2 linked regions of the Xenopus tropicalis genome follow. The protein of the gene in region 1 purifies or fractionates together with the protein of each later gene. This does not show direct contact. Links are inferred from orthologs where the notes say so. Each region holds a gene or a part of one and is shown on either strand. Other genes may lie near its edges. The genes, in order: klf11 and sin3a.

Region 1 (4,385 bases):
AGAGAGCCAAGCAGGCATGATATATAGAGAGCAACTAACACTATGTAGAGGCAATTAGGCTGAAAGCATGATATATAGAGAGCAAGGCAGGAGGCTATTTGGATAGCAGCACTATGTATAGGCGGTTAGGCTATAAGCATGGTATATAGAGAGCCAGGCTGTACGGATTGCAGCACTATGTATAGGCGGTTAGGCTATAAGCATGGTATATAGAGAGCCAGGCTGTACAGATAGCAGCACTATGTATAGGCGGTTAGGCTATAAGCATGGTATTTAGAGAGCCAGGCTGTACGGATTGCAGCACTATGTATAGGCGGTTAGGCTATAAGCATGGTATATAGCAGCACTATGTATAGGCGGTTAGGCTATAAGCATGGTATATAGCAGCACTATGTATAGGCGGTTAGGCTATAAGCATGGTATATAGCAGCACTATGTATAGGCGGGTAGAGCTATAAGCATGGTATATAAAGAGCCAGGCTGTACAGATAGCAGCACTATGTATAGGCGGGTAGAGCTAGCAGGGAGGCTATACAGATAGCAGCACTATGTATAGGCGGGTAGAGCTAGCAGGGAGGCTATACAGATAGCAGCACTATGTATAGGCGGGTAGAGCTAGCAGGGAGGCTATACAGATAGCAGCACTATGTATAGAGAGCAGCACGGTGCCTGTGGGTCAGTGGGTTCAATGCCTGCGTTCCATTTGCCTCGCTAAACACGCTTAGTTTAAAGTCCTAATAAACCTGAGACCTTTGCTCTGGGTCAGTGAGTTCGCCCCTTCCCAGCTGCCATGCTGCCTCCCATATATAGCAGCGCAGCCCTACACACACCATAAACACAACGCCTGCCCCGCTAACCAGCAGTGTGTTTGTAGGATTATTTTGAGGAATGTGGGCGGTCCCTGAGTGACAGCCACGCCCCTGCCCCGGACTCTCCCCCAGACGCTCCTCCCCTTCCCAGCGGCACGACCTTTCCCCTACTTTCCATGTCCCACAGTGGAGCCCACAGTAGGGCCCGGCTCTGTCAGACACGTCCCGCCCTGGGTGCATGTCTCCTGCACGAGCTGATCACGCACTAAAGCCTGCTCCCATTGGCTGGCGTGGAGGCCGGCTGCGCTCTCATTGGCTGGGGTGGAGGCCGGCTGCGCTCTCATTGGCTGTTGTCTCCCTTTCCTCCTGGAGCAGCTTTCTGTCCTCACCTAGCTTCCTCCGCCTCCCTCCTCCCCCGGTGCGGCTGTGTGTGTGAGTGTTGGAGCCGGCCCTCCCATGCAACATGACGAGGTACATCCCCAATGCAAAGAAGCAGCTTGTTATTGCTCATGAGCAGCCTGGCTCTGGCGGGCGGCACCGGGACCTGCTGCTCCATCTCCATCCTTTGTTATAGAGTAGGAGCCTCTAATCCATTACTTACGGTCTATCAGAGCCCACAATGCTGACTGTATCCAGTGCCGACATGCAGGACTCGGTAAGGCATTTATCCTATTCCCTTTGTGGGTTTTTAGGCTCTGTGTGAGTAGGTACATTGGAGGGCTTCCTATGTATTTCTAATGATACCCTATATATTTGTATATGGGCACCCTCTTAGTGTTACCCTATTGATGTGTATATAGGCACCCTGCTTATTGTTACCCTATGTATATGGGCACCCTCTTAGTGTTACCCTATTGGTGTGTATATAGGCACCCTGCTTATTGTTACCCCTGTATCCCCTTAGTGTTACCCTATTGATGTGTATATAGGCACCCTGCTTATTGTTACCCTATGTATATGGGCACCCTCTTAGTGTTACCCTATTGGTGTGTATATAGGCACCCTGCTTATTGTTACCCCTGTATCCCCTTAGTGTTACCCTATTGATGTGTATATAGGCACCCTGCTTAGTGTTACCCTATGTATATGGGCACCCTCTTAGTGTTACCCTATTGATGTGTATATAGGCACCCTGCTTAGTGTTACCCTATGTATATGGGCACCCTCTTAGTGTTACTCTATTGATGTGTGTATATAGGCACCCTGCTTATTGCTGCCATATATATGTATATGGAAAACGTCTTAGTGTTACCGTATTGATGCGTATATAGGCACCCTGCTTAGTGTTACCCTAAATATGTGGATATGGGAACCCTGATTGTAGTTACCCTATATATAGGCACTTTGCTTATAGTTACCTATATATGGGTACCCTGCTTATTGTCACCCTATATATGTGTATATGGGTACCCTGCTTATTGTTAGGGGTATATGTACATGGGCATAGAGGGCTATCCAAGTACTATCTGTGTGAGGTTCATTCTGCTGTGGGTATATATAGTAATCAGTGTATGGTTCCTAAGTATATTATCAGGATAAGTCACCCAGCAACAGTTGTTCAACTACAAATCCCAGACCCCTCAGAGAGCTGTACGTAGTTGAGCAGAGGAAGGGGCCACAGGGTGGGCACCCCTGGGTGTATGGGTCCCTATGTGTGTGTCCCACTGCCCTGGCAGTGCTGTTCTTGCTGTAATGGCTGCATGCAGACGTGCATTGGAGGAGCTAATGGTTACAGTGGCTGTTGGTGCTGGCTCTGTACAGCCTGTTATGCTATGAGGCAGCTGAGAGGGATGCAATCAGGCAATTGCTGCGTGGTGCTCCTAATATGATATAATCTGACTGGGGGCAGAAATCGCTTCAGTACGTTCGGATGTTTCATACAATGGAACTGTTAGTGGCTTCTGCCCAGTGATGAGAATACGGGCTATTTCCTACACCGGATGTCAAAATACCTGCTAGCGGGTACGGGAAATCGCCCTGCTTCAGCGTTATCCCCTCAAGCGGCTTCCAGGCGAATTTTGACTTGAGAGCCAGCCCCTGTGCCGCTTAGGCACGCCCCCTCCACTTCCGGCTCCTCCCCTATTCGCATGTGCCCGCCCTCTTCACATGGCTATTTTAATGCATGACGTCTTTCGGTGCTATATTTGGCCCCCGAAGCACCGCCCCCTTGGAGGCAGGGCTAGAGGGTGGGCGGGAAGACTAAAGCTTGTTGCGTTTTATTGTTTTTGCGGATTGCTGAAAGTGACAAAGGGAATAAGTGTGTGTATATGTGCTATAGGGCTCTGAGAGAGCAGGCATGGGTACATTCTGTGGGAACATTACAGCGCAGAACTCCCACTCACTGCTCAGCCTGAGCCCCGCACGTACAGAAAGTGACAAACATCCTGTGAGGAGAGGGGCGCCAGTCAGCTGACCTGCACCGAAACTGAACGGGGTGTGGCCTCGCCAAACAGCATCTCCTCACTTGTTTGTTACAATGGTCTTGTGACTGTGGGGAGATACCAGTTACAGAGTGGTGCCGGGGTGCCTGTGAGTGGGCTCAGTCTCCTGTAGGGGGCGTTGGGTTAAAAGAAATATCCCGTTTTCCTTGTAGTTGGGTTACAATGAATTAGAGTAATAATCACATTTTATATGGTAAAACCCAGATCTGGGATGAGGAATATGTGGCTGTGCAAGAACTATAACTCCCAGAAGCCCATGTTAGCCTATGTATATAGTGCTGTTAGTATGGGGTGGAACATGAATGGCTTCCCAAGTAACTCATTGTGTGATGGTTCTATTTGGCTTTTATCATGTAACAACTCCCAACATGCTGTATATACAGAGGGGGGAAAGGTGGCCTGTCCTCTACACTCGGGAGACATGCAGAAATATAGGGCTGGGAAAGTTCTATATTCATATTAATTCCTGTGTATCCCCAGCGCTTCAGCTGCACAATCAGCCTGGCAATAGCAGGAGCAGATAGTCACAGCTGGTGTCTGACATTTTGCTTCAATTTAGACAGTTTTTTTTTTAATGATAAGGCTGTTAAGGGATTCTGGGAGTTGTAGTTCAGCATTAGCTGGAGTGTAGATGTTCCTGTTAGAAGCGATCCCCCGCATCTGGACAGGTATCAAAGGTCAGGGGTTGGCCCCTTCTCTGCTGCCATAGACTACGTGCCATTATGAAGGAGAAGGGAAAGGGGGGGGACGGGTCACATGACTTTGCTCCCTCAGTAATGAGCAGTGTTTTTTTAGGTAGAAATTTTGCCTCCTGCACTAATCCAGGCTGCCGGCAGCACATTTAGGGGCGCAGGCTGCTGGGTGGCAGGGCATGTAGGGGCGCAGGCTGCTGGGTGGCAGGGCATGTAGGGGCGCAGGCTGCTGGGTGGCAGGGCATGTAGGGGCGCAGGCTGCTGGGTGGCAGAGCATGTAGGGGCGCAGGCTGCTGGGTGGCAGGGCATGTAGGGGCGCAGGCTGCTGGGTGGCAGGGCATGTAGGGGCGCAGGCTGCTGGGTGGCAGGGCATGTAGGGGCGCAGGCTGCTGGGTGGCAGGGCATGTAGGGGCGCAGGCTGCTGGGTGGCAGGGCATGTAGGG
Region 2 (3,820 bases), on another chromosome or scaffold:
TTAGTGCAGTGGTTGACTTTTCAGTCCACAGTTCAGACCCCACTAGGTGACCCAACCCTTTGCCATGGTCCTTCTTAAGGTCCATCCTTTGATCAGGCCCCCCCTTAGCTCAAGAAATGAGTACAGATCTAAGAGAAGTGTATCAATAATTCAGGATGGCATGCATATTCATCCCAAATGTCATCCTAATTGACCTTCAAGTTGAGCTTTCAGGTGTATTTGTGTTATAAAGGAACAGTTAAATAATGAACCTTCATGAAATAAACACTTGCATGCACTAAACTGACAATTTATTTGCACAACACAAATCTTTTTAAAATATTAAAAGTATTTGACACACAATCAGAAACAGACCTTTTTTTTTGTCCACTTTGTTAATTACTTCTGAATGCTCATGTAAAGGGAAATTTATTCTCACTTTTTTTTCTTTAGGTTCGGAAGGCTCTGCGGAGTGGGGAGGCATACGATAACTTCTTGAGATGTCTGGTGATCTTTAATCAAGAAGTAATTTCCCGGTCAGAGCTAGTTCAACTGGTGTCCCCATTCCTAGCGTAAGTTATAGATTGGTATTTATCATGAAGTAAACTTAAGCTACAACCCACAACATGTCTGTGTTTAATGGGCATTGTTTGCACATCTTAATTTTCATGTTTTTATTGGCAGTCATGCTCCAGCATCATAAATCATGTCTGTTTCATTGCATTGATAAGATGATTAAAACATGCTAACTATACAAAGAACATATGATCACACTGATTTTCAGTTGTTTAATCCAGATAATTTAGGATTTGTGGTAAAATAAGTTTAAAATAGTAAGTAATTTCTTGTTTGCTGCAGTAGAAATCTCTTCCATTACAGCTACATTGTGGGGTGGTTCTTTTAAATATTTAGTTAAACTTTTGTTATTTCTTCTCTTCTTTTATGCATTGTTGACACTTTTTTTCCCTCTTCCCCAATAGTAAGTTCCCAGAGCTGTTCACATGGTTTAAAAATTTCTTGGGTTACAAAGAGTCCTCACATTTGGAGAGTTTCCCTAAAGAGAGAGCTACTGAGGGTATTGCCATGGAGATTGACTACGCCTCATGTAAGCGTTTGGGGTCAAGCTACCGAGCCTTGCCCAAAAGCTTCCAGCAGCCAAAATGCACTGGCAGGACACCACTCTGTAAAGAGGTAAGATCCTTAGGGATAGGCAGTGTTTATGAATTAACTATAATTAAGACTGTGTATTCTTTGCATCAGATGTAAGGGTTTTGCCACATGGAGACGCACGTCTAGAATCCACCCCTGCTTTTCAAAAATATTATTAATGTGCCTGCACCTTGTGCTATTTTGTCAGCCTGGGTGCAGGCATGTGAAGCGGAATTCAGTGCGAAACTGCATACTACAGCAGTTTTGAGCCATATTCCATTACATTTTCCTGCATCCAGGCTGTTGCAGTGGCTTCGGGTGCATGCACATCAGTAAGATTTTTCAGGTGCAGGCACATGGAGGGAATTCGGTGCAAAACTGTTTGAATATGCAGTTTTGTGCCTTATTCCACTCCAGGTGCAGGTACATCAATAAGATTTTTTGAGCGTAGGGGTGAATAAACACAGGCCGAGAATCTGCCCTGTGTGGCAGAGCCCTATGACTTTCATACACAACCAGGGAATGTTAGAGAAGATCATTTAGGCTGTTTTCTTAGTTCTAAGATAATTTTTACTTCTTACAAAGAAAATGTGACTATAAACATACAAAAAAAAATATGCTCACCAAAAAAGTGTATCAAAGTTAATCAACCATGCACTACATGTTTTGAGCTTTTTCCCACAAATGACAGTGTTCTAAACTCTGTTGCTAAATCATTAAGACCGCTTCTCATCTTTGTATCTGGGGGGGTGGGGATTGTTAGATTTCTTGAAGTTCCCCCAAACAACAGTGATGTTGCAAAGTAAAAGACTAAATTAAATCCTGCCCATTTGTATGTAAACCTAATTTCTTCTTCATTAATAGGTGTTGCTAAATGCATTTATCTTGAAACACCTTTTTTTTTTTTTTTTTTTTGATAGTACTAGGAATAAAAACTTTTGCTTGTTATATTTGATATCATTAAGAGATGCTGCTGAGAATTGTAGAAATGTAGCAGATTATAATAGTCTGCACCTGACATACTGAGCTGCTTACTGAGCTGCTAGTCTAAAAGAGAGAGGAACATTGAAATACAAACATTTTAGAAAACAAAAAAAAAACTAAAAATGTTTTTTTATTTTTGGTGTAGTATCTGAAACAAACCAAATTGATAAATTGTTTGGAAGGTGAACAAAACCAATGTAGGTCTTTCTTTCTAAAATTTAAAATAATTATGAAATTAAAGCTATTACCCAATTTGCAAAACTTATATAGCTTAATAATAACTACCTTTTTTTCTGTGCATAGGTTTTAAATGACACTTGGGTGTCTTTTCCTTCCTGGTCAGAAGACTCTACTTTTGTGAGCTCTAAAAAGACACAGTATGAGGAACACATTTACCGATGTGAAGATGAGAGATTTGAGGTAAGAGTGTTTGTTGAATTATCATGTTATTTCTTTATTACCTTGACATGTTTAAGATTTTATACTATCATTTATTCTTTTTTCTTTCATCTTACATTTCTAAAAAGGTGCTATATGTAATCAGTGCAGAGTCATGGAGAATCTGTGTTTTTTTTTTTTTTTTTTTTACCAAATCATTTTACTCTTGTTAATAGCTATTTCTTTTAGCAGTGATATCTGAAACCCACATGTATTTCTGTAACATGTTAAGTCTTGACATCATCATAAATTGTAATATGTGTTACCTGTGAGATAAGCCTTTCATTTTACTGCTGCGAAGCCAGCTTCTACAATGTTTGTGGGAGTAGAATAGTTTTTAATGCATGTCAATAGAAATTTGAGTGGAAAGGGATACATTTAAAGGGATATTAAGAGATCTATAGTAACTAACATAGTAACAATTTTCAAAAGAAATAAACACACAAACCACTAATTTTAACCATGGTTAGAGATCCAAACGTTCCCTTTTGATACATGAAAGAATTTTTGAATCCTTTATTTCCAGTAGACAGTTGGTACTGTCTGTAATTAAAATTATTGATCTGGTATTCTCCATTAGTTCAGTGCAGAAATCGTTACTTCTACTTTTGGCTTAAAAAAGTTATGTATTTGAATGCACACAAAAAAAAAACACAATTATATGTAATTTTACCACACAACATTTACTGGTACCTATCATTGCCTTCCAGTTAAAAGCAAAATATAATTCTCTGTTACCTTTGTCAGTTGGATGTGGTTTTGGAAACCAACCTGGCTACCATTCGTGTTCTGGAGACTATCCAGAAGAAACTTTCACGGCTTTCTGCAGAGGACCAGGCCAAATTCAGGCTGGACAATACACTTGGAGGAACATCTGAGGTCATCCACCGCAAGGCTCTGCAGAGGATATATGCAGACAAAGCTGCCGATATAATAGATGGTCTAAAGAAAAACCCTGCTGTCGCTGTACCCATTGTTCTAAAGAGGTAAGTGCCTTGCAAATGTGATTTCAAAAGGTCAATAAAATGCTAAACAGAGTTGGATCATATAAGGGCAATAAAATGCTAAGCTGCCTTTGGGGACTTTGGTAAGGACAAGCAGGGGAGCCTGAACTGCTTTGAAATGTCAGGATTTGTCGGGAAATGTCAGGATTTGGGTGGATCAGAGGCAGTGTTAGGTTGAGATTTACCAATATTCAAGTTTCATTTTCTTTTCGCGGTTCAAAAAAAAAAAAATTCAAATTATGTTTTAAAAACCCGAACGTCTGGTA

The links.
Region 2: the proteins of klf11 (region 1) and sin3a purify together in Homo sapiens (affinity purification with western blotting, with the first as the bait; 3 studies listed by BioGRID). This does not show direct contact. The link is inferred for Xenopus tropicalis from reciprocal best matches to the Homo sapiens genes KLF11 and SIN3A.

The regions. Positions count from the first base shown.
Region 1 is NC_030681.2:138,139,123-138,143,507, forward strand, and holds the start of klf11 (Krueppel-like factor 11), read left to right. Parts: upstream 1-1,286; 5' UTR 1,287-1,452; coding exon 1,453-1,464; intron 1,465-2,649; exon of another isoform or gene 2,650-3,338; intron 3,339-4,385. UniProt on the Homo sapiens protein: Transcription factor. Activates the epsilon- and gamma-globin gene promoters and, to a much lower degree, the beta-globin gene and represses promoters containing SP1-like binding inhibiting cell growth.
Region 2 is NC_030679.2:93,407,651-93,411,470, forward strand, and holds part of sin3a (paired amphipathic helix protein Sin3a), read left to right. Parts: intron 1-432; coding exon 433-551; intron 552-959; coding exon 960-1,170; intron 1,171-2,415; coding exon 2,416-2,532; intron 2,533-3,297; coding exon 3,298-3,536; intron 3,537-3,820. UniProt on the Homo sapiens protein: Acts as a transcriptional repressor. Corepressor for REST. Interacts with MXI1 to repress MYC responsive genes and antagonize MYC oncogenic activities. Also interacts with MXD1-MAX heterodimers to repress transcription by tethering SIN3A to DNA.